Nothobranchius furzeri: one gene and its partners. The protein of the gene in region 3 purifies or fractionates together with the protein of the main gene of each other region. This does not show direct contact. Links are inferred from orthologs where the notes say so. Each region holds a gene or a part of one and is shown on either strand. Other genes may lie near its edges. The genes, in order: ddx27, rpl7l1, pes, noc3l and wdr12.

The links.
Region 1: the proteins of pes (region 3) and ddx27 purify together in Homo sapiens (affinity purification with mass spectrometry; 4 studies listed by BioGRID and IntAct, counting the BioPlex papers as one, with this or other methods). This does not show direct contact. The link is inferred for Nothobranchius furzeri from reciprocal best matches to the Homo sapiens genes PES1 and DDX27.
Region 2: the proteins of pes (region 3) and rpl7l1 purify together in Homo sapiens (affinity purification with mass spectrometry; 4 studies listed by BioGRID and IntAct, counting the BioPlex papers as one, with this or other methods). This does not show direct contact. The link is inferred for Nothobranchius furzeri from reciprocal best matches to the Homo sapiens genes PES1 and RPL7L1.
Region 4: the proteins of pes (region 3) and noc3l purify together in Homo sapiens (affinity purification with mass spectrometry; 3 studies listed by BioGRID and IntAct, counting the BioPlex papers as one, with this or other methods). This does not show direct contact. The link is inferred for Nothobranchius furzeri from reciprocal best matches to the Homo sapiens genes PES1 and NOC3L.
Region 5: the proteins of pes (region 3) and wdr12 purify together in Homo sapiens (co-immunoprecipitation; 7 studies listed by BioGRID and IntAct, counting the BioPlex papers as one, with this or other methods). This does not show direct contact. The link is inferred for Nothobranchius furzeri from reciprocal best matches to the Homo sapiens genes PES1 and WDR12.

The regions. Positions count from the first base shown.
Region 1 is NC_091743.1:76,918,749-76,924,833, reverse strand, and holds the start of ddx27 (probable ATP-dependent RNA helicase DDX27), read right to left. Parts: upstream 3,945-6,085; 5' UTR 3,717-3,944; coding exon 3,633-3,716; intron 3,156-3,632; coding exon 3,006-3,155; intron 2,932-3,005; coding exon 2,872-2,931; intron 2,800-2,871; coding exon 2,631-2,799; intron 2,292-2,630; coding exon 2,245-2,291; intron 2,170-2,244; coding exon 2,083-2,169; intron 1,954-2,082; coding exon 1,848-1,953; intron 1,683-1,847; coding exon 1,509-1,682; intron 1,425-1,508; coding exon 1,274-1,424; intron 1,210-1,273; coding exon 1,110-1,209; intron 1,003-1,109; coding exon 861-1,002; intron 787-860; coding exon 633-786; intron 435-632; coding exon 353-434; intron 29-352; coding exon 1-28. UniProt on the Homo sapiens protein: Probable ATP-dependent RNA helicase. Component of the nucleolar ribosomal RNA (rRNA) processing machinery that regulates 3' end formation of ribosomal 47S rRNA.
Region 2 is NC_091742.1:28,213,679-28,219,709, forward strand, and holds the start of rpl7l1 (60S ribosomal protein L7-like 1), read right to left. Parts: upstream 4,024-6,031; 5' UTR 3,960-4,023; coding exon 3,946-3,959; intron 3,644-3,945; coding exon 3,535-3,643; intron 2,969-3,534; coding exon 2,805-2,968; intron 1,983-2,804; coding exon 1,845-1,982; intron 1,771-1,844; coding exon 1,661-1,770; intron 214-1,660; coding exon 5-213; 3' UTR 1-4.
Region 3 is NC_091757.1:45,265,968-45,271,126, reverse strand, and holds the end of pes (pescadillo), read left to right. Parts: coding exon 1-110; intron 111-206; coding exon 207-284; intron 285-1,049; coding exon 1,050-1,139; intron 1,140-2,195; coding exon 2,196-2,326; intron 2,327-2,410; coding exon 2,411-2,536; intron 2,537-2,817; coding exon 2,818-3,002; intron 3,003-3,105; coding exon 3,106-3,248; intron 3,249-3,319; coding exon 3,320-3,487; intron 3,488-3,724; coding exon 3,725-3,799; 3' UTR 3,800-4,063; downstream 4,064-5,159. UniProt on the Homo sapiens protein: Component of the PeBoW complex, which is required for maturation of 28S and 5.8S ribosomal RNAs and formation of the 60S ribosome.
Region 4 is NC_091756.1:51,138,418-51,143,882, reverse strand, and holds part of noc3l (nucleolar complex protein 3 homolog), read left to right. Parts: intron 1-1,598; coding exon 1,599-1,803; intron 1,804-1,918; coding exon 1,919-2,045; intron 2,046-2,432; coding exon 2,433-2,587; intron 2,588-2,678; coding exon 2,679-2,747; intron 2,748-4,355; coding exon 4,356-4,486; intron 4,487-4,565; coding exon 4,566-4,727; intron 4,728-4,818; coding exon 4,819-4,912; intron 4,913-4,984; coding exon 4,985-5,160; intron 5,161-5,264; coding exon 5,265-5,393; intron 5,394-5,465. UniProt on the Homo sapiens protein: May be required for adipogenesis.
Region 5 is NC_091742.1:74,277,116-74,283,315, forward strand, and holds the start of wdr12 (ribosome biogenesis protein wdr12), read right to left. Parts: upstream 4,189-6,200; 5' UTR 4,063-4,188; coding exon 4,022-4,062; intron 3,721-4,021; coding exon 3,626-3,720; intron 2,989-3,625; coding exon 2,891-2,988; intron 2,801-2,890; coding exon 2,694-2,800; intron 2,623-2,693; coding exon 2,507-2,622; intron 2,434-2,506; coding exon 2,279-2,433; intron 2,204-2,278; coding exon 2,158-2,203; intron 431-2,157; coding exon 345-430; intron 261-344; coding exon 120-260; intron 1-119. Other genes in the region: nop58 (nucleolar protein 58), read right to left, coding at 6,198-6,200.

The DNA of each region.
Region 1 (6,085 bases), on a different chromosome or scaffold from region 3:
CTGTGGAGGGCATGGTGAAGTTTATGACCTGAAGGACACGTGGAAACAGGTCCAGGTCAGGAGAAATGTCCCACATTTATCGGTGCTTCATAAAACCATCTCAACACTGTTGCTTCACCACAATTCTGAAGCTCATTTGTGGATCGGAGGACCCGGAACCAGGTTCAGAATCTGAACTAGTGCCGAAAAACGTGCTTCGTTAGGAAAGGTCCTGATATTACGGCTCTAACGACCACATTTCTAACCCGACTGGAGGAAATTTTACTCCTTTTATGAAACCGTCTAAGCCTGACCAACGCCAGATACAATAAAAACAAGCGCAACCAAAACGCTGGTTTTCTGAACATCTCACCGTTTTCACTCCGTCGATGTCCAGACCTCGAGCTGCCACATCTGTCGCCACCAAAACATCGATCTGTTCATCTTTGAACCGCCTGCAGAACACGGAGAACAAGGAAGCGTGAAACTATGGCGATACAACAGAACCACCGCAGCATGGAGGACGGCGGTCACGGCGCTCAGCTCCGGTGTACTTTCCTTTTTGGGCAGGCAGAAGTGTTAAATAAGACAACAAAAAAAAACCTCTGAACATCCGGTACAGTCAGGACTAACAACCCAAACTAAGATTGTACCTGAGGTTCTCCAGTCTCTGGTTCTGGCTCAGTTCGCCGTGCAGTTCTCCAACTCTCAGGCCCACCAGTCCCAACAGGATGTGCAGCCTGTGAGCCTGTTTTCTCGTCTGAGTGAACAGCATCACGTGGTCCTGGAAGGTCCGGGTCAGCAGAGCTGAGAAACCACAGTGTTCAGTACAAGGAAACGCGTTCCACAGACAACACAATCCCAGGAGGACTGGTTCCTACCTGCAACCACAGCCTCTCTGTCGCCTTCTCTGTGTGGTCGGATCCGGACGAACTCCTGTCGCAGGAACGGAGCGACGTCTGTGTTGCTGTTCACAAAGATCCGGATGGGCTGCTTCAGCGACACTGCTGCTAGATCCTTGACCTGCAGACACAGGTCACATGACCCGCAAAGGGCACAAGTCATATGACCCGAATAAAACACCAGGGGTGTGAACCACAAAAGCACGGGTCAGGTGACCTGGTGCGTACCTCTTCTGTCATGGTGGCGGAGAACAACATGGTCTGTCTGTTGTAAGAACACAACCTGATGACCTCCTTCATCTGTTCTTCGAAGTACTCGTCCAGCATCCTGACAGAACCAGACAGCATCAGAGCGGTGTTCTGTGACCCGTTCCTCAGATGTGAATCCTCACCTGTCCGCCTCATCCAGGATCAGGATCTCGATGTGGCTCAGCTCGAAGCTCGGCGTGTTATGAAGGTGATCGATCAGTCGGCCAGGTGTAGCTATCAGGACATCAGGTCCTGCCCTCAGCGCCGCCTCCTGAGACTTCAGGTCCAGACCGCCTGGACAGAACAACATGGTTCAGAAAACCACCAGAACCAGTTTGAACTGGGTTTGATCCATGCGCAGCCAGGAGGCGTTCGTACCGACAGCCAGGCAGGTGGTGATGGAGGTGAACTGGGCCAGCTGACGGGCCACAGAGTGAACCTGGATTCCCAGCTCTCTGGTAGGAACCAGAACCAGGACCCTGGTCACCTGGGATGTCCTGGGTTTATAAATCAAACGCTCCAACACAGGAAGCATGAAGGCTGCCGTCTTCCCTGAGGAGACCACACGTTTATAACATAACACCAGAACGCTCCAGGAGACCAAGCTACGGATGGTTCTGGATCACAGAACAGGTGAGTTGGGATTGTTCTGATCTAGCTAACATGCTACCACCTGGGTTAATGAATAGCTAACTGGTTCCAGTAGGTCAGCGGTACCTGTTCCAGTAGCAGCACAGGCACACAAATCCCTGCCCAGTAGGCCGACCGGAACACAGGCCTTCTGAATCGGTGTCGGTTCCTTAAAGCCCAACGCTGTGATGGCCTTCAGCAACAAAACAAACAGGAAAGGACAGATACTGGTGAGACTGGTCTGGATCTGGGCTACGGCCTGGTTTGGTACCATCGGTTCAGACTACACGGGTCTCTAGAATTCCTTTTGTTTGGGTTTTACCTTCAGGATGGGTCTGGAAAGGTTCATGTCTTCAAAGGTCAGTTGATCGTTGAACTGAGACGCATCTTCATAAAATGACTCTGCAGCCTGAACACAAATGTGGTTGTTACTATGGTAATGCAGCACATTTAACCCATCAGAGCCACCTCTACTCCTCCTCACCTCATCCTTCCTCTTCTTCCCTCGACGTTCCTTCTCCCTCAAGGTGTCTGACAGGAAGCAGGAAGTGAGAAACATAAAATCCAAAACTCGTGAGTCTGTTTCAACTGCAGGTCAGATGTGTGTGTGTGTGTGTGTGTGTGTGTGTGTGTGTGTGTGTGTGTGTGTGTGTGTGTGTGTGTGTGTGTGTGTGTGTGTGTGTGTGTGTGTGGTTTAAACCTGAACATTTATATTTAGCTTTCCTGTCACAAAATTACAAAAACCTTCAGCAAACAAACATTTCCCAGAAATTTCCCAGACCGATCCCAAACCCTAACTGAATGCCGTCTGCTTGATTGAATCACATCTTCACACAAACAGCTCAAAACAAAAAACTCTAGTAATTCCACCTGATTTGGTGAGAACCTCTTCATCAGCTGAGTCAAACTCCTCCTCGTCTTCCTCCTCCTCCTCCTCCTCTTCCCCATCATCACCATCATCAGCAGCATCTCCTGCAGGAGGCTCATCCTCCTCCTTTGGCTCTACTGAACTTCCAGCTGTGGTACTGGAGGATTTCTCCTAAAAATAAACTGATATAATTAAGCATGAACAACAAATCAACGGTGAAGTGAAGCTGGACCAGAAACTGACCTCAGCTTTCCTCTGCTTCCTGATTTTCTCTATTTTCTGATCCAAAGTAGTCACCGTTCTCTGCAAACAGAAACAAACTCAGCTGGAGAACATTCTGCTGACATCCGAAGAACAGGGTTCCTGTCGGATTCTACCTTCTTCTTGAGCTGCTTTAGGACATCTGCCATTGGCCAGTCATCATCGAGGTTCAGCCCATCTCTCTCTTCAAAGTCAAAGTCAAAGTTAAAGTCTCTTGATGCTTGATTCCCAAACTTCTTCTTCCTGTTCAGGACAATCGGCTCCTCCTGCAAACAAAAGCGGTACACAAATCAATCATCTATCAAAGATCTTATTTCCAGATGTTCCCAGCAGACTGCATGTTTCCTTGTGGTTTCATGAGGTTCTAACAGATGAACGGGAGGCAGAGCTTTCAGGTTCCAGGCTCCTCTCTGGTGGGGAAGACCCTCCTGTCTGCTTCAGACCGTCCTCTCTCTAAAGCTGCACGCTCGTGCTGGCTCATCCCTTTAGTTATGCTGCTATAGGCTCAGACTGCTGGAGGATATCCTGACATCACATCATGGAGTTACGAAGACACCAGACACCTGAAGGAACCCTGGTTTTGTTTTAGAACCTCCGTGAGAAAGGGTCACGTGACACCCAGCTAACCCTAACCCACCTGACATCGGTTTGTTTGATCTGTTTGTGTTCTGATCGCGCCCCTGGGACTTAAACCGATTCCGTGGGAAGTTCTGGTTCTCCTCCGGTGTTACGGACCGACCTACCTCCTGCTCGGACTCTGTGTCGGGCTCATCCGGACTCTGGTCCTCGTCCCGGATGGTTCCGATCAGACCGAACTGTTCCAACATGACTCCAACTCTGTTTTTACGGGTTCTGAAGGATCTTTCCACACGTTCAGTTACACACGTGTGGACGGAAACCGGAAATGTTCATTGTTATTTCCGGTTAGTGCCGTCTCCTGGTGGCTTAGCGCCACCTGCTGGTGCGGAGCAGCAAACCGTTCATCCTATAAAAGCAGCTAACAGCAAAGATCTGTGCTCAGTGTAAATTTTCATCCCTCAGTGAAAAATATTATATTAATTGTAGGTATAAAGAATTGGAAAAGATATGTAAAGCGATCCCAGTAGCACTGATTCAGCTAATTAAAAACATTATAATAAATTCCGTTGTGATCATTACAATACCTACGTTAAGAGTGAATAATTGCAACTTACTTGAAAACAAATGTAATAACAAGAACATCAATGATGGTATGCGACAAAAGATTTATTATGATTACAACAGAAGTAATTTGAAGAAGTTTACAAACTGCGAAGTCACAATGGCTTTTGCATATTCAAAACATGGCCTGTTTCTCCAAAGGTAAAAGAGACTCATTTTAAAATAATAAATGGAATATGTCCTGTATCTAAGTTTCTGGAAAGAAGGTTTAAACTTGATGTTGATTTGTGTGCTTTTTGTAAATCAGAAGATGAATCCCTGCAACATTTGTTTTATTATTGCCAACATTCATGAGTTTTTTGGAATGACATTAATGAATAGATTAATCTCAAACTTACTATTGATTTTTTTTAAGTTGGTGATATTCTGTTCTATGTGAAGGACTTGAATGCGACTTTTTCTGATGCTATCAATATGGTTGTATTGTTAGCCAAATATCACATCCATTGCAATAAATGGAGGGGTACCAAGCCCTCATTCCCATGCTTTTTGAGCAAATTTAAACTATTCTATTGTTCATTAAGTAAAATGAAAAAATGGAAAAAATGCAAGAATCAATTCTCATCTAACTGAGAACTTTCTGTTTTGAGTTTCCTATGTAACTCATGCTCTGTTGTTTTTTATGTTATTTTTTTCTTTGATAAGCCCCTTAGCCTGTTTTAAGCTTACATCCTCCATGAGAGTGTGTACCTTAATGTGGTACCTTGTTCTGTTGTCTTTGTTCAGGAATAATAAAAAAATGTAAAAAAAAATCTGTGCTCAGTGTTTCCCAGTTACTGACCCCTTGTCTGTTCGCTTAATTAAAAATAAATCAAATGTTTATGTTTATGTATTTAGCAGACGCTTTTGTCCAAAGCGACTTGTGATAATCGGCATGTTGCCCTTGAGGCTAACAACAACAATAACAACAACAACATTGACATCACTCATGGAGAGGAGGGAACAAGGAGTGGACGGTAGAGAGAGGGGACATGTGCAGGCAAGGTGCTAGTTAAGAAGATGCTCTCTGAAGAGCAGGGTCTTCAGGAGTTTCTTGAAAATTGAAAAGGAAGCCGCAGTTCTGGTAGTGCTTGGAAGGTCATTCCACATTTGTGGAACAATGCATGAGAAGAGTCTGGATTGCCTGAGCGTGGTGTAGGCACTGCTAGCCGACGATCCTGTGATGACCGGAGCGACCGGGCTGAGACGTAAGCCTTTGCAAGAGGATTCAGGTAGATGGGAGCCGTACCATCTCGGACTTTGTATGCTAGTGTTAGCAATTTGAATTTGATGCGTGCTGCTAGCGGTAGCCAGTGGAGCTCAATGAACAGAGGGGTGACGTGTGCTCTTTTTGGCTGATTGAAGACCAGACGCACCACTGTGTTCTGGACCATTTCAAGAGGTCTCACAGTACAGCCTGGAAGACCAGTTAGAAGGGCATTGCAGTAATCAAGGTGGGAGATGACAGTGGATTGCACCAGGAGCTGGGTGGCATGTTGTGTTAGGTATGGTCTGATCTTTCGTATGTTATACAGCGTAAAGTGGCATGAATGAGCAACAGAGGCAACATGATCTTTAAAGGTCAGGTGTTCATCAATCACAACACCCAGATTTCGAACTGCCTTTGAAGGAGCCAGAGATGGGAAGTCATTTTGGATTGAGATATTGTGCTGTATGGATGGTTTTGCTGGGATGACAAGTAGTTCAGTTTTAGATAGGTTGAGATGGAGATGGTGGGATTTCATCCATTTTGATATGTCAGAGAGACAGTTTGATATTCGTGCAGAGACAGTGTGGTCGTCCGGTGGAAATGACAGATAGAGCTGGGTGTCGTCTGCATAGCAGTGGTAGGAGAAGCCATGTGATCGAATGATCTCACCCAGTGAGGTGGTGTATATGGCAAAGAGAAGAGGTCCTAGTATAGAGCCCTGGGGGGCTCCTGTGGCAAGATGGTGCATGGTAGAGGATTGTCCAAGCCAAGATACACTGAATGATCGTCCTGTGAGGTACGACTCAA
Region 2 (6,031 bases), on a different chromosome or scaffold from region 3:
CCGATCAGTTCAGCAGTCTGATGATGGAGTTTATATCCGTCCCGCGGAAGCCCGGGTCCCCCACGTCTTTAAGGAGCCCGACTTTGTCCTTGGCGGCGTGACGAGGCACCGACAACTTGAATGGCAACAGGAAGTTGTTGGCCGCCCGGAAATTCTTCCCAACTGAGTAGATTTCATGAATCAGGTCTTCTAGACAGATGATGCCGTGTTTACCTGCGAGACGAGAGGAGAGCGAGTGAGCAGCATGCTGAGGACGGAGGAAAGACTCCGAACCACAGCCGTCCCTCATGTAGGGCAGCGGCGTTCACCCCCGATCCTCCAGGAACGCCGGCCTGTTCTCGTTAATCATCAGTGAAATAAATAAATAAATAACATGTTTGAACCCAAACGGACCAGGCTCTACTACTGAAAACACGAAAACCATAAAGAACCCTAAAAATGAAGCATGTTTATTTTAGATTTGTCAACAACAACAATAATAGTAACACCAGCAGGAGGCAGTGGGCTGGATTAGGATGTAAAGAGCAAATTGCAGTTTATTTTTTTATTTCATGTCTAAACAATACTAGCTGAAACACTTGGGAGCATTTTGTTTTTCAACACGTAACGGCTCATTTTTTGGAGTGAAGCGGTGAAGCTTCTAAAAACGCTTTTATTCCTCTAAATGTTCACCTGCGACCACCTCAGGAGGAGTCGTGTAACAAAGGTGCTTTTCTTTCTTTCCTTCTAAGCGAGCCCGGCCTGAAGCTCAGTATGGCGAGTAGGTAGTTATGTGGTACAGCGGTGTGTGTGTGCACTCTGGTACAGCGGTGTGTGTGTGTTCACTAGTTCTGAATAGTGTGAGGAGGCCGTGCAAACTCCAGCATGTCTGAACATCTAGTCTACGGGTTTTAAATAAGAAAGACAACGGCGCCATCTTGCTGTCTGGATCTGTTTTGTGCTGCTGAAAAAGACGAGTCTTCTGCGTGTGTGTGAGTGTGTGTGTCTCCTTGAGGTGATGGAGAATAAAAATCAGGCCTTACTTGTTGCTTACCAGAAACAGCGATCAGTCTTGTTCTTGCAGCTTTAAGTAATCTATTACTCAGTTGATCGGTTACGTTACACAACTCTAGTAGATCACTGCTGTTGTGGGTTAGCGGACCAAGCATCACCTTCTGGAGGATTTTTATCCTGGTAAGTTACAGATGGTGTACGTTTTTATACATCACTTCTTTCCTTCAACCGCGACACACACACACACACACGCACACGGACACACACACACACACACGCACACGCACACAGACACACACACACACGTATTGTTGCAGGGCTGAAAGAACTTTGAGAACCAGGTGCTTTTGCTGGTAACTCTGTTGTCCTGTGGGTGGACGTGACCCAAGCTTATTAATGTTACTACTACTTTTTTACTTGATGTAGTTTTGAAACCAGTACTTTTATAATTTGACTTGAATAAAAAGCTTGAATTGATGCTTGAACTTCTACAAGTCCTTTAAAACCCTCGTGTCTGTACCTTTACTTAAATAATGAATGCAAGTGCTTTTGACGCGACTGTCCTCTAGCCTGGTGAACCATCCGCAGCGCCTCGCTGTGTGTGTGTGTGATGTGTGTGTGGTGTGTGTGTGTGTTCCCAGCTGGAGCTCAGGGCAGTGTGACGCACCCATGTGCTGCTCTATGAAGTTGTTGTCTGTCAGAGGAACCCTTCTCCTGCCGATCCTGGTCTGGCCTCTCTTCAGGACGAGCTCCCGGACTGACTTCAGGTTGGGATATCTGGGAAAGGTAGTGTTCATCACCCAGAGCGACACAGAACCAAACCTACCGACCCAGCAGTCAGAAAGCCTCACCCCCACGCCACGTAGGGCTCCACCATCCTCATCATGGAGACGGACGTCTGGTTGATCTTGATGAAGGCTCCGCTGAAGATCTTCCTCAGCCTCATCATCTGGATCACCTTCATGACTTTGGGGCTGACACCTTTGACCCTGCCAGAACCAGAACGTATTTTTTACTTTTTATTAGACTCCAAATCACTTGGCACATTTCTAATTCATAATTTGTAAGAATGTAATCGACAATATTAGCATCCCTATGGGTTTTTCCATGTATATTAGCATTGGGCTAACCACTCGCTGCCAGTCAAATCGCAGCATTTGCCATTAGAAAATCTCCCTAGAGCCCATTTACTGACATGGAAGTGAAATCTGCAATATATCGTGAGATTGATTTTAGGCCGTATGGCCCAGCCGTACAACATGCCGATATATATCACCATTACCATACATTTGCTATGTTTTGAGCTATGTTCGGCGTCCCTGTTCACCAACGTCAACAAGTTGCCAACCTTGCCAGTCTCTATACCAGCTGATCTCAGCAACCTGGAAACACACTGTACAGGTGGAGAGGGAGAGTGAGTGAGTAAATGGTAAATGGCCTGTATTTGATATAGCGCCTTCTAGAGTCCTGGAGCCCCCCAAGGCGCTTTACAACACAATCAGTCATTCACCCATTCACACACTGGTGGGGATGAGCTACGATGTAGCCACAGCTGCCCTGGGTCACACTGACAGAGGCGAGGCTGCCGAGCACTGGCGCCACCGGTCCCTCTGACCACCACCAGCAGGCTAGGTGGGTTAAGTGTCTTGCCCAAGGACACAACGACAGCGACAGACTGAGCGGGGCTCAAACCTGCAACCTTCCGATTACAGGGCGAGCTCTTAACTCCTGTGCCACCGTCGCCCAGTATGTGAGAGAGAGAGAGAGAGACTGCCCTAACCACCACGCTCACCCGTTGGACAGACACTCACATTCTGATGCGAACAACGAAGGCCAGTTTGTTCTTGGCCGACGGCAGCGGGGCAGGTGGCCTGTGGTGTGCCCTCTGGAGGCGAGTGTCATCACGATGCTTCTTGTGGCTGTCTTTCAGGAAGTCCTCCAAACGCTTGAACTTTAAAGGCTTTCCTTTTGAGATCTACAGAAACCAGGAGTACAGATTAGAATCAGGAACACACACGTTTGTCTTTCATGTGTGAGGACCAGCGCTGAACTAGCCCAGAACCTTTGAGGTCCAGAGATGGGACACTCCCACAGGCTTCGACAGAAGGGATGGGAGGGAAATCCTGAGGGTTTATATTAGACTTTTATATATTTGCACTAAAGCCCAAAAGTGAAGAATTTGTCATTTCAGTGTTTTACACACACACACACACACACACACACACACACACACCACAGCTGGAGAGATTTTTAAGGGAAACACTGTATTTATTACTTGATTGTTCAAAATATCTCCCAGAAGTGATTCTTTTTTAAACAGAATTGTTGAATGATAAAATAAGGTTAATTAAAGAAAAACTAAAGAACATTCTGGATCTGTTTATTTTTTTACCGAATGTATCGGATCGGGACTCATATCGGCAGATTATCAAAAAAATCAAATGACTCGGATTCCTGGGCAAAAGAACTGATCGGGACACACACACACACACACACACACACACACACACACACACACACACACACACACACACACTTTACCCTTCTCTTCTCCAGCAGAGCTAGCTTAGCCTGGGTGGCTTTGATCGCCTGGTAGGTTTTCCTTTTCTTCAGGAGAAACTCAGGAACTAGCTTGATCACCTTCTCAGACCTGATGGAAAACCACACAACAACTCAGACAAGAGGAGGCTGTCGCTGTCGGATCCGTCCAGCGGAAACATTTTAACGTTTTCACCGGAACTTTGTAAACCGGCTTCAGCGTCTAAACATAAACACGAACCCATCCATGTGAGACTAAAACTCACTATCGGCGGCTTCCTGGCCGTCTAAGCCACACATACACACCTGAGCTGGCCTGTTAACAGCTGCGCTACATAATAAACATCAGATGAGTTTAATTACAGCTGAAACTAAGGCGGATGCACCGCGATGGCATTGAAAACAGATACATACTCTGGCTCGGCCATGTTGACACCGCGGAGCCGCTTCTTCTGGTGTTAAACAAAGAAAAGCAAAGGTTCACTAGCGCCACCTTCTGGACTGGAAGCGAAGAGCGCTCATTCAGTATCAGCCAATAAAATTGTATTATTATTATTATCATCATATTATTATTATTATTATTATATTATTATTATTATAATTTTATTATTATTATATTATATTATTATAAAAACACATCCTCTAATCTCTGATGAGTAGTCTACTTTGATACATCAGTACAGGATTTAAACTGGGATTACCGTTGACCAGGGGTCGGCTCTTTCATCCATTTGATGCCCATGCGCCTCTCTGTGCTTGTAAAATAATTAATGAATATTTATTTAAAATGTATTTTATTTTACATCATTCTTTTTTATCTGTATGCCAATTTTAAACATCAACATTGCCATCTTTTAAAATTAACAAAAATGATAAAGACCCGAAATTATAATAATAACATAATAATGAAAACAATTTTGCCGGCAGCTATGTGTGTGTGTGTTTTGCACTTCAAGCACCGGTCTAAACAACCTGACCAGTGTGTCCAGAACGTTATAATTAAATTATCTCACTTAGAATGAATACAAACAACAAACAACAAATGTCTCTATAGGAGTTTTCTGAGCTGAAGAGGATATGAGCTTCTGGACTGTTGCCTCATACAGACTCACTCCTCCCACTGAAGCGAGTGTTTTCTAAACCCGGTCTCTCAGAGAGACTTGTCACTTAGAAAATGTTCCCTGGTTACGAAACTTTGGCTGAATAGTGCTTGTTCCTGTCTCCAATGTGGCGACCTATGTGTGTGTCGATGGTGGTGACGCATCCATGAGCCTGGCTGAGGCAAAAGTCCAGAAGCTCGTATCCTTATGGAGATATTTGGTGCAATAACATTTGTGTTTTTATCCCTGGGAACTTGAAGTCACAGAGAAATATTTAGAAAAATCACATCTTTCACAGGTACAAAAACAACAGATACACCAGTTCAAAATATTGGGTACAAGTACACAAAATGCATGACTTCAGTCACACATAAAAAAATCTTACACTCACAGTTTGTTACGGAAATTTTATATTCCAGTACTTTAATCCTATTAACTAATGTATTACCTTATGCCTGAAAGCATTCACACACACACACACACACACACACACACACACACACACACACACACACACACACACACACACACACACACACACACACACGTAGAGTGGTAAATGAAGTGCTTTAAGAGCTCTATATATTACCTCTACTTATGACCAATAAGCTGTGATACTCTAAATATAGAACATCAACCTGCTCGGTCTTTGGATGTTTACTCAGAAGATTCTGGGATTCTTTGTTTATTCAGGGATTGTTGAACACCGTCTTGATTCAGGAAAGAGTCGGGTTTATAAAAAGGAAGAATTTATTTTCCAAACAATTAAAACATGACACATTAACCAATATTTACTGTGATGGATGGATCTGGGTGGATGAGATGTGGGGGTAGGTCGGGTTTTCACAGCATCTGTCTGCATCCCTTCGTGGGGGTTTGTTGCTAGCCTCTCAAGGCTGTTATGGCGTCAGATTCGGATGACAAGACGTTTTTTGGGTCAGGCTGAGATAATTTTCCTCTCTGCCTTCAGTCTTTAAACTGATCATTCCAGTCCGACAGTGATGCCAGTTTGGGTTTTTAAACTTGTCCATACAGTAATACGCTATGGGAATGACAGCAAAAGCTAACAGTGTAGATCATAATTGTGCAAACACAGATAGTATTTAATGGTTGTTAAATCATGTAAACTTTAGTTTCCTATCACAACGTGGCAACCCACAGAAACTGCAGTAACCACATCTGACCACAGGAGGTCACTGTTACTCATTTCTTATATAGTTTACCTTTAACAATAACAAAGCCAGAGACTAAAGGTGAGTTTCCAACCTGGATTTAAAGACAGCCAGAAGAAGACTGCCTAACAGCAAGAGAAAGATCCGTACCACAACCACGCTCTTTCAACTGCTGGGATGGAGGGCAACCACTGAGCAGAGGTGATAAAGCTTTATTCAGATGTGGCA
Region 3 (5,159 bases):
CAGATGTGGACTACAGAGTCATGGCTACTTTCACAGAGTTGTACACAACCCTTCTGGGGTTCATCAACTTCAAACTCTACCATTCTCTCAACCTGGTCTACCCTCCAAAGGTACACGTCACCATGGAAACGCTCTCTTCATTTCTACATGGATGCAAACTTTTTAACAAGCTTTCCATAACAGGGGTCGCCTCTTCTCTGTTGCAGATGGATATTAAAGCAGAATCAGAGCTTAAAGAGGAGTTTGAGGAGGATTACGCCATGAATTCAGAAAGCTACACAGAGGTCGGTTAGTTTTCTTTTGTAAACGGGCCAAAAATAAGAAAAATCCAAAAGGGTTAACTAGGGCTGGGATCACCCAGCCCTAGTTCACCTTAATACTGTTGAAGATTTTCTTTTCTGTCTAGTAAAAACTCAATGAACAACAAAATAACTTGAGTTATTTTGTTTTATTTTACTTAATGGGAGATCAAATGATTGTTCTAAATAGGGCTGCACGATATTATGAAAACCTGCGATATTTGATAACAGTGCATCCCATGATGACGATATATTACTTGCGATAAATAAAAACTTAACTCAGGAACAAAAATAATCAAAAATAAAAAATTCTTCAAAATAAGAAAAGCAAAAGATGTGAGGAAAGAGAAAAAGAACATGAACAAGAAAAGGCAATCCGTGGATCCCGGGAAAAGCAGAATCGGCAAAAAGAGCAGAACAAAGCTAACTCAGGTGTTTGCTAACCATCTAAACGAAGTGCTGTCTGCCTTGGGGGCGGGCATCTAACTTATGAGAACCTACCTGATTGGCCAAATGGGTGATGAGCTCTTTTTGATTTGTTAAAAAAACACAATGCTTCTGTTTGACAGAACGCATAATGTGTAGCAAACATTTGAGCCGACCATTGCGATATTTTTCTGTTCTTTGCGATATGCATATTGTGCATGCTGATATCGCGATAACGATATATTTACAATATATTGTCCTAGTTCTAAATAAGTAAAAATGTAGCTGTAGCAGTTTTTAATCTTTATTTTGACGTTTGTGTAGAAACTGTCAGCTCTGAGTGGCAGCCTGGCTCGTGTGGTTTCCACCGAAGAGGAGGAGGAGGCTAAACTCGACCAGTTTCCTGCTGAAGGGGTGAGAAAATTAACAAAGCCTTTTATTTTTCCTTTTTGAAAATGTTTAAAATGGTATCTGAGTTTTTAGCCTGAGCTGGCGTTAAAAGTTGTTTTCTTTGAGCCTGTTTGGAGATGCAGTGTGTGACTGGGGATTCACTGCTTTATGGCTGGTTGCTACAAACAAGCTGTTCTCACCTGGAAAGCTTGTTTTGCCCGACTGGTTTGGAGTTGCCAGAGAAAAAGCTCCATGTTTCCTCTGGGAGGTTTTATAAAAGAGATCTCACCTGGAGTTCAGCAGCTTAAGTTTTAACTGAACTCACAGCAAAATGATCCACGGATGCACATGTGCAGAAACAACTTGAGTCCAGCTAAAGAAGATCCCATTCAGGTTTTTTACCGCTGTTTTCATGCAATAACTGTATTAGTGTTCTAGTGTTTTGGTGATTTATGGGCTTTTTTCTGCTTTAAATAGTTTATTTTGATCATAAAACATGAACCAGGCTCCGTGATCGAAACGTAAAGCAATAATTTAGCAACAAAATCTATTTTGGTTGAAAATTAATTGGCCTAATAATGTTAGTTAATGATTTGTCTTCTGTTTAATTAGAATAACACTGTTTTTCTACAATAGAGGATTAGAGGTTAATGTGTTCATGGTTGTGCCTTTTTCCTTTTGACTGATTTAAGTTTGGAGAGAAAAACATTTAAAGATTCTTTGAATCGACCTCAAAACTACTTTAATTTAAAGTTTCACTGAGCGACTTTAAACACATAAACATCTGGATTTGTCCATTTGCATCAGGACCGCATCACAAAAATGACTGAGAATGTCAGCTGACTTGTTTTAGTTTGTATAGTTTATAAGTTAATAAACTTCTTATGTTTTTGTGATGCATACACTTGTTTTCTATGTGTGTTTTAGTTCTGTTTGGATTCAGTACACTTGTTTAAGGTTTTAAATCTGAGATATTTCTGCTGATTATTATATATCATGTTTGTGTCGTCTACCTGTTTTAGCTCAGGTGAGTACAGTTGATTGTTCCCGCGGCCGATTGTGCTAATTGATCTTTTCCAGGAGGACGTGGAGAAGATGGAGGCCAGAGAGAAGGAACAGAAACAGCTGGAAGCTCAGAAGAAGCTGTTTGACGGTCTGAAGATCTTCCTGAACAGAGAAGTTCCCAGAGAGTCGCTGGCTTTTATTATCCGGTGAGGCTCGGCCACGGGACATTTAAATCTCTTTGGGAATCTGTTGATGTTCTTTTTTTATGACTTTTAATTTCCCTTTTTCAGGTGTTTTGGTGGCCAGGTGTCCTGGGACAAGTCTGTTAGCATTGGGAGCACGTTTGACGTGACAGATGAGACCATCACACACCAGATTGTTGACAGACCCAATTTTGACAAACAGTACATCAACAGGTAGATAAATCTAGCAGTTCCATCATTTTTAGCTTTTTAGGTTATTTAATAGCATCAGGAACTTTACTTTTCTTTATGAAAACACCTGGATCCTGATTACAGGAAGTCTGCTTCGGTTTCCTTTACTTTAGTGTCACTTTTCATCTCTTTCTGTTCCCTCAAAGTGACCCAGTTTGAAATAGATATTCTCATCACTACTATTTCATGATCAGAGAAAACAAAGAGAAGCTTTATTATAATTTTCCTCTTACCAAGAGTATTTTTATATATTTTTGTTTCAGGTATTATGTCCAGCCCCAGTGGGTGTACGACTGCGTCAACGCCAAAATCCTCCTGCCCGTGGAGGACTATTTCCTTGGGGTGACTCTTCCCCCTCACCTGTCTCCTTTTGTGGAGGAGAAGGAAGGGGACTATGTTCCCCCAGAGAAGCTGAGGATCATGGCCCTACAGCGAGGAGAAAAACCTGGTGAGGGTCAGACGCTGACCTATGAGTTATTAGTCTTTGTGTCAAATTATTAATCTTTCTTTTGAAGTGAATCTTAAAAAGTGCTTTTTTCATTTTGTTGCAGCTCAAGAACAAGAGGAGGAGGATGATGAGGAGGAAGAGGAAGACGAGGAGGAGGAGGAAGGTGGTGATGATGAAGTTGATGAAGAGGAAAAAGCAGAAGAAAAGAATCTCAAAAAGATGGAGGAGCAAAAATCTCAGGGCAAGGTCGGATCACGTTTGATTTTTGCATTACCCAGTCTTTTATGTCCTGAATCTGACCCGGTTTCTGCTTTTAGTCCCTGCAGGTTAAAGTCACACCTGGAAAAGTGAGGGCAGAGAATCCGGCCCGCCTGGAGCAGGAGGAAAAGGCAGAGGAGAAACGTCTCGCTATTATGATGATGAAGAAAAAAGAAAAATACCTCTACGACAAGATCATGTTCGGGAAAAAGAGAAAAGTCAGAGAGGTGGGTGTTATCGCAGTGTGAACTCTCACGTAGATAACGTTGTGATTTTAGGTTTTTGTACGTTTTTATCAATAAATCTTTATCTAAGAATGTTTAACACTTTGTTTAAGTTGCTGTTTGTATAAAAGTAGATTAGCAGTGACCTCTTAGGTCACTGACCTCAGAAGAGTGTGTGTTCATGCACCTGCGCATGTGTGAAGTGTCTATTCATTAACGCTGATCAATCTCTTCTTACAGGCCAACAAACTGGCAGCCAAGAGGAAAGCACACGATGATGCTGAGAAAACAAAGAAGAAGAAGGCTAGAAAATAACTTCTCGTGACGCTCGTTTCAAACGGACTCTGTGTTGAATGGTTACAGGCTGATGTGATAAACCCTGCGACTGCACCGGAGAACCCTGCTCGGTGCATGAACGCTGCATATTTTAACACAGAAAAGCAGGATTCTGCATATTTGTGTAATTGATGTAAAAATAGCTCCCTTCATTTTTGTTCTGCATCATTTAAAGTCTTCATTTTAATTTCTGTGCTTTAAAATCTTTTGCATTTTTAAATAAAAAGATGATGTATTAAGTTACCTACTTGTATTATTTGGTAATGAAAATTAGTGAATTTGTGGTGGCGTGTTAATTTTATCCATCTCTTTGTAGCTTTACATCTCATCAGCAGTATTTATGAATATTTTCCATCAGAGTTTACATTAGTTCACTGGGGCGAGGGCTTCTTTGCTGAAGCGGTGGGTGTTGATGACGATCCTCCAGCCTTCTGATGTGGATAAGTGATGCTGTGGCCCAAAGGCCAGCTCCGACATCCACATCACTCCTCGTCCTTGCTCACTTTGACACACTGTCCTCCCTTTAACCCCTTCGTTTACACCCAGCTCTGCATTCCACGTGTGCCCACCCAGATTGGATCTCAGCCTGGTACCAGAGGGACAAGGCACTCCCATCTTTCACAATAGTAGCAGTGTTTGTGCTACACCATGGTGTGTGTGGGATGAGCTGGAAAGATCTAGTGTGTCTTCTAGGAATCCTGACTACATTATAAAGAGAGATGAAGCTCGTGAGCTGGACTGGGTAAGGCACCGTGTGACTGCATGTTGCCACATCCTGTCATGCAGAGGCAAATAGACTCAGACAGGAATGTTTGTTTAATCCTTTGAAATTACTGTTAACAAAGAGAAAACCTCAGGTTAGGATTTCATGAAAAGTGTCTAAAAAATGGTGGATTTAAATCATTTTTAAGTAAAGAAGAGATCAAATCAGTTGTTTACAACTGAAGATGAAAGTTTTTACATTACAGGCTGATGATCTATTCATGTATTTAGCTGATCTGTTGTGTAAAATTTAAACACCTTATTGCGTAAATTCATCCCACTACATGTATAGTTCCAGCTTGCCAAACAGGCATTTCAGACAATAGACAGAGCTGTCTTGATTAGAGAGAACAATTAAAGCTTTTGTGCTCTGTACTTCTGCATTTGCTCCTTTATGTCGCCCCCCTCCTATCAGCATGCAGCTCAAACTTCAGTGTCCATGCTCAGTAAGGCCTCTGTATGGAGACAGAATAGGGACTATGCAGCCTCTCTCCTCCCCTTTCTTCTGCTCTCTGCCTCCCTCACACTCTGTAACTAGTTTGCGTCCCCTGACAGGGAGCCTGACGTCACAGGTGGC
Region 4 (5,465 bases), on a different chromosome or scaffold from region 3:
GATACCCAATTTCACTAATAACGTTTGTTAAAAAAAATCTGTGCCTGTGACGTCACACTATGGCAACGCCACACAAACCACGCTGGGACCCATTTTTTTTGTAAGAACTAAATTAATATCGGATTCTGGCAATAAAGGGGCTCTAAAACAATTCATATGTAAATATTTAGCATATTTATTGCAAAATCTCATTTTTCTGCTTTAGTGCTGCAACAAGGTTTTATTAATAATAAATCATTCTACCTTTTGTTTTACTACAGCATCGGTAAGCTTCCTGTGCACAGATTATTAAGGATGCTTGTTTCAGCTGTGAGATTAGACGATAGGGTCAATGAAAAAATAAGTTGTCACATACTCCATGGAAACTTTCAGAGAATCCACAAATATTGGCTTTTAAATGGTTTTGTTACTTTTTGCAAGTTTAGAAAAGCAGCAGATGCGACAGCATGTCTGATAATTTAGTTTTTCATCTGATAATGTTAGAACATGTCAGCGATGTCTGAGGAGCTTTTATAAACACTGTATAACTAATACTCCTGGACAGAGTATGAATTACACAGAGGCTTCTGGGGAGCCCAGTTTTTGGGGGGTGTTCTGTTTTGCCTTGGCCCCCAAAATGCCTTGAACAGGGTATCCGCGGGTCCTTAAAAAGTCTTAAATTTGGCTCCCTTAAACCTGCAGATACCCTGCTTGAAACGGCCCTGGGTGTGTGACTGAGTTTTGAAGGTGATCTGATTTGTATCAGATGTATAAATATTACATGTGTGTAACGTATTGTTTTATACAGGTAAAAACGTGTAGTGGAGATAAATCTACCTACATTTTACTTTTCAACACTAGTTTGTTTTGTTTTCGATGTTGCGTCAGTGAGGTGAAATCACCGCAGCACAGGTGATGAGCTCCGCAGTAGCAGAGCGCTTCAGGCACAAATAAGACAGAAAGTAGAGAATATGAGAGGACATGAACGATCGTGGGTTAATGATAGTTTTTTGGTTGCGCCACTTTGAGAATGGACCGTGTGCTGGACGCAGCAGCCTGGAGCGCTGCGCACCAACGATCAGCGCTCTGCCACTCTCGGTGCTCTCTGCTCAAAAGAACCCCCGGTACACTGAAAGTCCATGAATGATGTAATATAGGTAGAAAAGTTTTCTCCGGCTCTCCCTGGATGTGTAGGATCCCCCATAATTCGATCCCTGCTCCTGGATGAAAAACCGGACATTTTCATCAATACAAGACCCCCCCCCCCCCCCCCCCCCCGGACGCTCCGGACAGAGAGTGAAAAGTGGACATGTCCAGGGTAAAAATGACATATGGTCACCCTACACTAGATCCTTCCACAGCTGAAATGTTCTGGGCGGATCCTCATCCCAAAATAACAATCTAAGAAAAATAATTTTTACCAAAGATGAGGAGCAGACAGGGTGGAATAAATAAACTAAGTGCTTTTAGTTTGTTTTCTACCTTAAATGGGCGATGCATTTCTGGAATATAAACCAAAGACCTTAAGGGCAGGTTAACAGGAGGTTGTTAAAGCAGCTCTGCTGATGTCACATTGTGCTGTATTTGTGTTGTGACGGTGACCTTCTCCCTCCCTGCAGCCTCGTTCAAAAAAGCGGCGGCCAACGTTCCGCCGCCTGCTAAAGACAAGCGGGGTGAAACTAGAGAACAAGCTGAAGAACCGTCAGTTCAAGCAGCAGAATGCTGACAAGAAACAGCGGAAAGATCAGAAGAGAATGCGGCAGGCGATGAAGGGCTCTACCCTGCAGACGCCCCGCCCCCTGGAGACGTACAGGAAGCGACCAGGTGAGACTTCTTCCAGTCCAGTTTGACACAGTGGCAGCCATGTTAATGAGGAACGATCAGTTACAAGCAGCAAGGAGTCCGTACATCGGTAAATCTGTTTTTTCCTACCTGACAGAGGAGGAGGAGCAGGAGGAAGAGTTCCTGGAGAGTTTACCGACAGACATGATGGACGAAGACGACCTTCAGCAGATGACCACCATGGCTCGGAAGGCATCGTTCATTACCAGAGACCTGTCGTCATGGTGACACAGCAAACACTTCTTGTCATGGTTACACAAATACACACCAGTGGCCTGAAACACACAAACACGGATGGATATGTTATACTTAAATAAATCCAGATGTTTCTGGATGGATTCATGGACATTTCTCTTGTACACCCCAATCAATGGGGAATTGATTCTCCTCCTTGCATGATCAAAAATCACAAGAATGACGCGAAACTTTGGAAATGTGAGGATTGTCTTTGGAAACTTTAAAGTAGCCGATGAACCAGAGCTGTTGGAGTCGTTGAAAGTACTTTTTGAATGACTTTCATCTGTTATGGTTGCAAGGTTGCACTCCTGAATGTGACTGAGTGAGCTGACATCGACTGGGGTGTGTTTGTTTTGCATGGTGGGGCATCCTAGCGGGCCGGTTCATGGAGGGAAGAAGCGGAGCTCTGACGTGGTTCGCAGCTACGAGAAGGTTCCGAGGAAGATTGCTAAAATGCAGGAGAAGGAGGTGATCCATCTGCTGCCAATCAAGGACAAGAGTGGCGTCATCCCACAGAGCATGGAGAGAGGTAACACTGTGCACACACACGTTACTGATCAGCTGATTGATCGCGGTGAGTAAGTAATCAGAAATGTCACTGCTGATCTTTTTGTTTCCAGTTGTAGAAAAGCAGCCAGAGCCTGAAGAGGAGGACGATGATGCAGATAAGCCTGATGAGGAGGAAAGTGGTAAGAGATTAAAAAACAAACTTGTTGATCATGAATTGTTCACGGTGGGTTGAGAATAAATGAAACCGCAAAGGGGTGTTGCTGTCTTCAATGTAAGCACAGGGTATCCGCGGGTCCTTAAAAAGTCTTAAAAAGTCTTAAATTTGCTTTTCCAAATTTAAGGCCTTGAAAATCCTTAAAAATGACAAATAATCCTTAAATACAGTTTCCAAAGGTCTTACATTACCAAAGACCCAATAAACAAGATTATTTTATTTCTATAAAATTTTTGTGAATTTCTAGTTTGTGTTCAGCATTTTTTGTGTACGATGTTGGCGTAAGCGGAACCGTACACATTCAGTTGGTTTTGAAAGGGGGCTATTTTTAGATGAGCACATTAGCTGGTTAAGCTAGCGGGAGCTTGCGCCATGGGGAAGTGCAAGTTTAATGGTATCTAGATGGCTAATCCCATGTTCACAACGTGGTTAGTACCAGTTCCAGGCAATAGCTGGAAATTATAGCTTATATTTAATTGAAAAAAAAATTGCTTAAATTTGGTCCAAGTGGCATTAAAAAAGGTCTTAAAAAGTCTTAAATTTGGCTCCCTTAAACCTGCAGCTACCCTGTAAGCAGGAACAATAGAAAAGGTCCGATATTGTTGAAACTCTGGTCAAAGCTGTGGATGATTTCAGGATTCAAGGTTATTTAATTGCCATTTTACAGGAATACAACGACACTTGACATTGCACTTGCCTGAAGACCGCCCTCGTAAGAAGAGTGTGGCAGAAATCAATGAACACAAAATCTAAATCGTGATAATCCTTCAACTGTCTCAGTAGGAAACAAAACAGATGAAGCTCAAATTTAACAGATGTCTTTTGCTCTTGTGTACATTTCTTTTCAAAGGAGAAAAACTTGAAATAAAGAAAAAACACAAATTCCCACAGAAGTTTGGTAGATGGTGAACAAAGATGGTCTGAGTAAACCTTTAGTAAAATAATCGGTGCTCATTATATATTCTCTAAAATAAATTCCATTGTCTTCCCAAAACCTGCATGTATGTATGTATACGCATGTCTGTATGTATACGCATGTATGTATGTATACGCATGTATGTATGTATACGCATGTATGTATGTATACGCATGTCTGTATGTATACGCATGTCTGTATGTATACGCATGTCTGTATGTATACGCATGTATGTATGTATACGCATGTCTGTATGTATACGCATGTATGTATGTATGTGGACCGAGCCGTGTTTTTTTGGAAAAATGCAAAAGAGCCGCTTCATTTATTTATTTATTTTCTCTGCAAAATATTTATAGCATATTCATATTAAAATGCTGTTAGGAGTCTCGAAAAAATATTTTTAGCCAGCTTGTTTTGCGGATTTGGCATTGTAGCTAAGTTTTTTTCTTGAAACAATCTAAAGTGATTGCTCATCAAACCCGGATAAGGATGGCCGTTGCAACAGCAGTAAAAATAAAAATATCCACCGTAGTGTGGATGAGCGACTCTAGCTGTCGTCTCAGCTCTGTACCAAGCACCATTGATTAAGGAGCTATTCTGTGATTTTTCATGCGTTGTGTGGAGTGTTTATGATTGCGGTGTCCTCCTGTGCAGAGGGGGCATCATCGTGTTACGTGGGACTGACCCCAGAGCAAAGAGAGCAGCTTAGAAACCAGAAGTTAAACGGGAAGAAGCACTGCATCGCCAACCTGGCGTCAGCCATCATTTCAGACCCCATGAACAATGTAAGTGGGCCACTGGTCTCAGGTTAGACTGGTGGGATGATACTGATGCTAGTTGTGGTGGTCATGTGATGTGTGGCAGATGAAGTGTGTGAAGGAGCTGCGGGGTATGCTGATGGAGGCCGATCCCAGCGTGGCGGTCTCAGTCAGGAAGATGGTGATGGTTTCTCTAATGGAGATCTTTAAAGACATTGCTCCCACCTACAGAATACGACCTCTGACTGCTGAAGAGAAGAGCGTCAAGGTAGCTACGATTAATCCACGTCTGTCCTGGACGAGTGTGTCCTGTGAGGTGTTTGTGGTGAAACTGTTTCCTTTGGTTTGTTGTGCTGCAGGTGAAGAAGGAGACAAAACAGCTCAGAGAGTTCGAGGAAGGTTTGGTGAGTCAGTATAAGTTCTACCTGGAGGATCTAGAGCAGACCATCAAAGGTATACCACCACAACAGCAACACCGCTTCACCTCACCACTCACACAGACTCACAGCTCACCGTCCTCCTCAGATTGGAAGCAGAAGAAGAGGAAACGCAGCCAGGCGGTAGGCCTCCAGTCTTATCTCAGTCTGGCCGAGGTCGCCGTGCGCTGCCTGAGTGAGCTGCTGCTGGCTCTGCCACACTTCAACTTCCACAACAACATCGTCGTCATCCTCGTACCGCTGATGAACGACCCGACAAGGAAGGTGAGACATGCCGGACCTGTGCCGACCCACCCGAACAAGTCTGACAAGCTCAGGTAGATGCATACAACGATGCGTGCTGTGATTCAGGCGAGCGTTTGTTACAGGTGTCTGACATGTGCTGTGACGCATTCAAGAAGCTGTTCCAACAGGACAAAGGGGGCGTGGCCTCTCTGGCCACTGTGCGAGTTATATCTGGCCTTGTAAAGAGCCTAAATTACAATGTCAGACCTGAGGTACCAAACGAAATGCACGCGAACCTCACCAGATTCAGTTTCATTCAGGACTGTTGGTCTCAGTCCTTCCTC
Region 5 (6,200 bases), on a different chromosome or scaffold from region 3:
AAACCACCTTTTACAGGGGTTTCTGACGAAATCCACAGAAAGAATAAAACTTCCTTTTCTCCTCCTGCAGATCCTGTAAAAACCAGAATAACCACTCCTGTGTTGCCTCTCAATCTCACCAGCGTGGTCTTCAGGGCTCCGGTCTCAACATCCCACACTCTGATGGTGTGATCCCACGATGCACTGCAGACCTCCTCGTTGTCACACCACAGCACAGAGGACACCGCCTCACCGTGTCCAGATAACGTCATTAAGGGAGTCTATAAGAGCGGGAGATGAGGTGGTACTCCGTTAGCTGATAGCTGGAACCGTGGCGTTCAGATTTTAGTCTGATCTGTTTTTACCCTAGTCAGGCCCAGCTGCTGAGTCTTCTGTTTCTTCCTGGGTCTGTCAGCGGGCTCCTCGACCTCATCAGCCTCATCTGTGGGCACTGGAGGAACAACAGCAGGAACTTTAACCCTTTCTGTGAGTAACGATGACAGTTTAGGTGAGACTGAACCCCTCAGCAGCTGATCTGACTCTGCTACAGCAGCCATGAAGAGGTCATTCTGAATCTATGAAGATGCGTTTTAATCTAATATCAATCATTGGATCAGGCTCATGATCGTCACCACATTGTTAATTGATCAGCACTGGATCATTTCATTATGGTGACTCTGATCTCTATTGTTAATCTACTTTCTATGGTTTTACATCGACTCTTTACTGGGTCAAAGAAAAACTAACAGATTTCATCAGGAGCCAGGGGTGGATTAAAGGAGACCAATGTCCAATAAAAACATTAAAATCTCTCAGCTAGTTTCACTCTCACTCAGGTGAATTTAAAACAAAAACAAGATTAGAAGGGAAAACTCGAGCTTGTCTCACCGTCCTGCAGTTAGTGTTTCTTCAAGAGACCATGTGTAGTTTTTACCATTCATTTCTAGAAATATCCATCAAAATGTTGTTGAAAATGAAAGAAATGAAGTCCTAGCTGGCTGCTTCATAACAAATATCCATAAAAATCAGGTCTAAAACACATGGAAGCGGGTCTAAGTCTATGGGCGACGCCATATTAGATGCCATGTTTCCTTCTACTGGAGCCTGTGAAGACAAAATGCATTTACTGATTTGTAACAAATGGTTACAAAGCTTTCGCCGTTCTTAAATGTTGTTCTTTTACACATTTATCTCTTCACTTGTTGCCAGTGATGGAAGGGAATCTGATGTGCTTGTTATTTTGCTCAAAATTGCACTCCCCATGGCTTTTTGAACCTAATCGGCATCCGTTAGTAAAGTCCTACTTCAACACAAAAATACTGCTTGCTTGCAAAGATTTAGGTATGTACTGCCCCCTATTGCCAGGGAAGGTACACACTGTCACTTTAATCACACAGCTCTAGCTGATGTTTCCAGCTTTACTCCTAAACTCTGTTTCACACATCATTTATAAACATCTGTTGTGCCACATAGTCCGGAAAAAAGAATTTAAAAAGAAAAATTGGGAGACATTGGAACAGATAAAGGAACTTTATGTTTGTCCTTCTTCCCCAGGACAGGGACAAAGATTCCCATCTGGATATTTCTCAAGATTAGCTAATAAAGGATCATAACTAGTCCCAAAAAGGTCTTTAAATGTATGCGTAATCCAAATAGTTAAATTTATCTGGGCCGATGTTAAATGGAATGGGGCCAGAGAGCTGCTGCTCCAAAAGAGTTAACCTCACAACTTGAGATCTGACCAAATGTCCCAAGAAGAGCCAACAGCTTGGAGATCCCAGAAAGAGGATTTGAAATATAAAAGCCTATCATCGGTATAAAGAGAGACTTAACAGTAGATCCCAGATGTGAGATGCTCCTGACACCTGGGCTCAACCTCGTGGCAACAGCCAAAGGCTCCACTGTAACTGGAGAGGTGACAGTGGGAAAACACCTTCTCAGCATCTAGGGAGAGTACTTCTTCATCAACCTTCTGGTCGGGCAGAGCAGGTGTGTACAGCACATTGTCTCAATATTTTGCTGCTGAATCATACCTGTCAACATTTATTACGATTATTTCACTTATTCCATGTCTCATTTTCCCTGCACTGTGTGATATTGTCTCTGGTACACAGGTGATATGTATTTTATAGCTGTAGGTAAGGTTTTCCAGCTTAAATGTTCTCATCGCTCACCCACCTGCAGACCAGATCTTCAACATTTTGTCCCAGGAGCCGCTGCAGAACTGCAAAAGGACACAAACAATCTCAGACACAAACCAAACTCATCTATGAACACTTTCTATTCCCTGAAGCTTTACTTTAGAGCCAGAGGGGTCTGTGGACACTGTGTCGACACTTCCTGTGTGTCCACGACAACAGTGGCGGGCTTTAACTTTGTTCCTCTCAGAGTTCCACTCCCACAGCAGGACAGTCTGGTCCAGAGAAGCCGTCAGGAGCAGAGACGTCAGGCCATCTGGGACATCCATAGAGTCCACATTAAAGTTAATAATAACAAAGAGGGACATCCAAGGTCCCAGTCTGCTCACCTCGTTTGACCCAGGCTATGTCTTTAACAACATCTGAGTGTCCAGCTACGGTCATCACCTGCTTCCCTTCCACAGACCAGATCCTGGCTGTCTTATCATAGGAACCCGTTAGAATCCTGTAGAACGAGACACAGGGACGAGTCACAGGACAGTTACAGAAAACCAGAAGGTCTGGTCTCCATCTTACCATTCTGAGTCTGCATCCACTGAGCTGATCCAGTCATCGTGCATCATGCACTCCTCAGGCTCAGGGGCTGTGATCCGCTCCACATACTCAATCTCCACCACGTCCTCCTAAAACACACAACCATACACGCAGATGAAGCTCAGATGTCAGACTCATACTGACAGCTTTGGTCTCTGTGGCAGGTGATGAGGTCGTACCGTAGATACACCCTCTGCCTCCATGTGAGACGACAGTGGCGTTCGCAGGAACTGACCTTTGACCAGGAAGTCAAACTCCACCTTGCTGTGAGATTCTGCTAAATAAATAAATAAATAAACAACTGAAGTAAAAAATAAAACAAGAATGATAACCGTTTATAAATCATATTATGTGTAATAGTTTAAACTCCAAACTAAGCTGTTATGAGTAGTTTTTTTTTTTTTTACAGTCGACATTTTATGTAGTTTAGCAACATGTTACTTGTGTTTATGGTGTGTATTAGGGGGTAACGTGCTAGTGGTGTGTTATGGTGTCTACCATGTTAAAGATGTATTATAGTCCCCTCAGTCATCATCACACACCGGTGAAATTACATCTCCACATGTGACCCAGCCCTGTGGGGAGCGGCGAGCTGCAGCAGTGGTTGTGCTCGGGAACTATTTGGTGCGTTAACCCTCCAATCCAACCCTTTAAAGCTGAGTATCAAGCAGGGAGGCACTGGGTCACATTTGTTTGTCTTTAGTGTGGCCCAACAAGGATTTGAAAACTGATCTGCCAGTCCCAGGGCAGACATTCTACCATTAGGCCACTGAGAAGGTATGGTGTGTGTACCCTCTCTATAGTGTGTTTTAGGGTGTGTGCACGACGTTTATAGTGTGTTATGGTGTGTGCCATTTCTATAGTGTGTATGAGGCTGTGTGTACTATGTTTATTGTGTGTGTTATGGTGTGTACCATGTTTGGTCTCCAGCAGCTTGTTGATCAGGTTACTGAGGTCCTGCACTTCAGAGGCAGCTGGGATGGAGAACGGGACATCATCTACAACAAACCTGCAAACAAATCAAGGCCCAACAAAACGTTAACCCAACCAGGAGACAGGTTGACCTTTATCAACGATTAAACCCAAACTTCATATTATTAACATTAAAGGAGCTAAAACACACTAAAAGCCCTCTAATCGGTTGCTCACGAGGCCAGTAGGAAGTTGAAAACGTTACGCACATTGATAAGAAGCTCAAACTCAGAAAATTAAACCCTGAATACAAATTTAACACACGTTTAGAGAAAATAGATGCTAACTATTTAGCTAGCCTGTCCGCTTTTACCGCACTACCCCAGAATTAAACTCACCTTTTGTCCTCCGTAAAAAACCTCGCCTGTAACTGAGACATTCCTACTGTCTGCGAGTTTTCTGAGCAGATTAAAAGTAAAGAAAATCAGCTAATATCTGTAGATCTGTAACAACATCCAAGTCAGGACACTGTGGCCATGTGGTGTAGAGGAAGGCTAAAAAAGTCAAACACAGATACAGTCGGTGCCGGGTTCTCTGGATCAGTGCGCATCTAGTACTGCCTGGCTGTTTGTTCACAATAAACTAAAGATTCAGTATTTTCTACGTTTCTATGACGCATGATTCCTTCATAAAGTATTTCTGGAAAACCGAACTCAAAGCTCTATTAAGTTGGGAAAAACAGGTCTGCAAACCTCTTAAAGGCCCCATGTGTGAAATCCATTGAAATCACGATGAAAAAACGCGACCTGCAAAACCTTTAGATCATTTTTGTTAGTTTGTATATTTACGCGGTTTATTATAAATTTATGTGAACTGTCATTGTTTTTTAGACTCTAGATTAAAGAATAAGCCTTGATTCTACTCTTTATTTTTATTTTAAAAAAATTTGCTGCTTATTGTAGAAGAAATTTATATTCAGCCTCATTTAACAAAAATATGATATAGCTACTGTAAAATACGTAGATCTATTAAGCACGGATATTTACTTATGGAGTTCTCTAGTACAGTATCTATTAATAAGTTATTTAAATACCCAGTTTAGGTTCTAGCTTCAGTTTTACTTAAGAACCAACTAAACTGATGTTTGCAACATAAATTTGCTGCACATGACCTGTTAGACTTCCATTCCACAGGTAGGACCATATTTGGTCACATCAGGCAATTTCTCTTAAAAAAAATAATTAGAACAGATTTATTTAATGAATTTAGATTAAAGGTGAATGCCACAAGGTGGTCACTGTGGAGGGCGACAGAGGTAAAAACACTGGTCAGGGGAAACTGGAGCTGGAGAAGGGAAGTGCAGGATATGAGATGCTCTGTGAAGAGTTGGGTACTCTAGAATTTATTGAAGATAGACTGGGAAGCCCCTGCTCTGGTGGCACTCCATGGATCATTCTTCCATCCTGGAACAACTCAGGAGGGGTCAACATGGTCAACACTACTTTAATGAGTGGAGTGAGTGTGAGGCATGAAGTCAGTTTAAAAGTAATGGATTAGATTTATAAAGCGCTTTCCATAATTCACATTTCTGGTGATGGTGAGCTGCTGCCGCCCTGGGGTGGTGCCATCTGCCCTCCTGCCACCAAGACAGGCAAGTCGGGTGAGGCGTCCTGCCCAAGGACACAACAGCAGAGTACCCCGGCGAAGCTGGGGTCGATGCCACAATCCTCCGATCGCTGGGAAACCCGCTCTGCTGCCCCAATATGATGCTTAATGTTTTGCCTGCCTTTAAACTTGTGTTAGATTACAGGTTTGTCATTTTAAATAATACTTACACAAGTTGAAACAGGGGTGGTTCTGGGGGGCACTTGGCCCTCTCTTGCTGAAGGCATTATAAAGTAAAAAGTGACGATTACACCTAATGCGGAACCAACGCTTGTGAATTTATTTATATATAGTAGAAAAGAGCAGTGATGGAGTGTAATTAAGTAAAAGTATTGCCCTGAAGTATTTTTCTTTGAGGCATTGAGCTCCGGAAACCACAAACAATTGTATTAAATATACTCAGGCTACAGTAAAAAAAACTAAAACAAGTCATTTAGGAGCACAGCAGGTTTCACTTCTTCACATTATTCTTTAAATTCAAACCTAAACATTTGGACCCACCTAAAAAACTGAAGGAACTCCTGTTAGTTCCCAGTCTGCTTGAGCCCTGGTTAAAAGGTGAGAAGTTTAACTCGTCCCACCCACTTAAATCTTTATGTTTTAGTGCAAACTGAATAATTTAAGCAAATAAAAACATTTAGTATAATTCTAACTTCATTTATCAGTTGTTTGAAGCTTATTAAGCAGAAAAAGACACAGTTACAGCAGGAAAATCGGTTTATTCCATCAAGGCACAGATTCAGTTTTTAAAAATAAAACACATTGGCTCTTGGCTTTCCAGAGGTTGTTGGATAAAAAGATGACTCTGCTGTTCATCGTGGCAGGAAACAGACTTTTCCTCTACAGGTAAACATTTGGGACAAAAATAATAAAATAATAAACAAAAAATATTTACATAGTTTCATCTCTTCA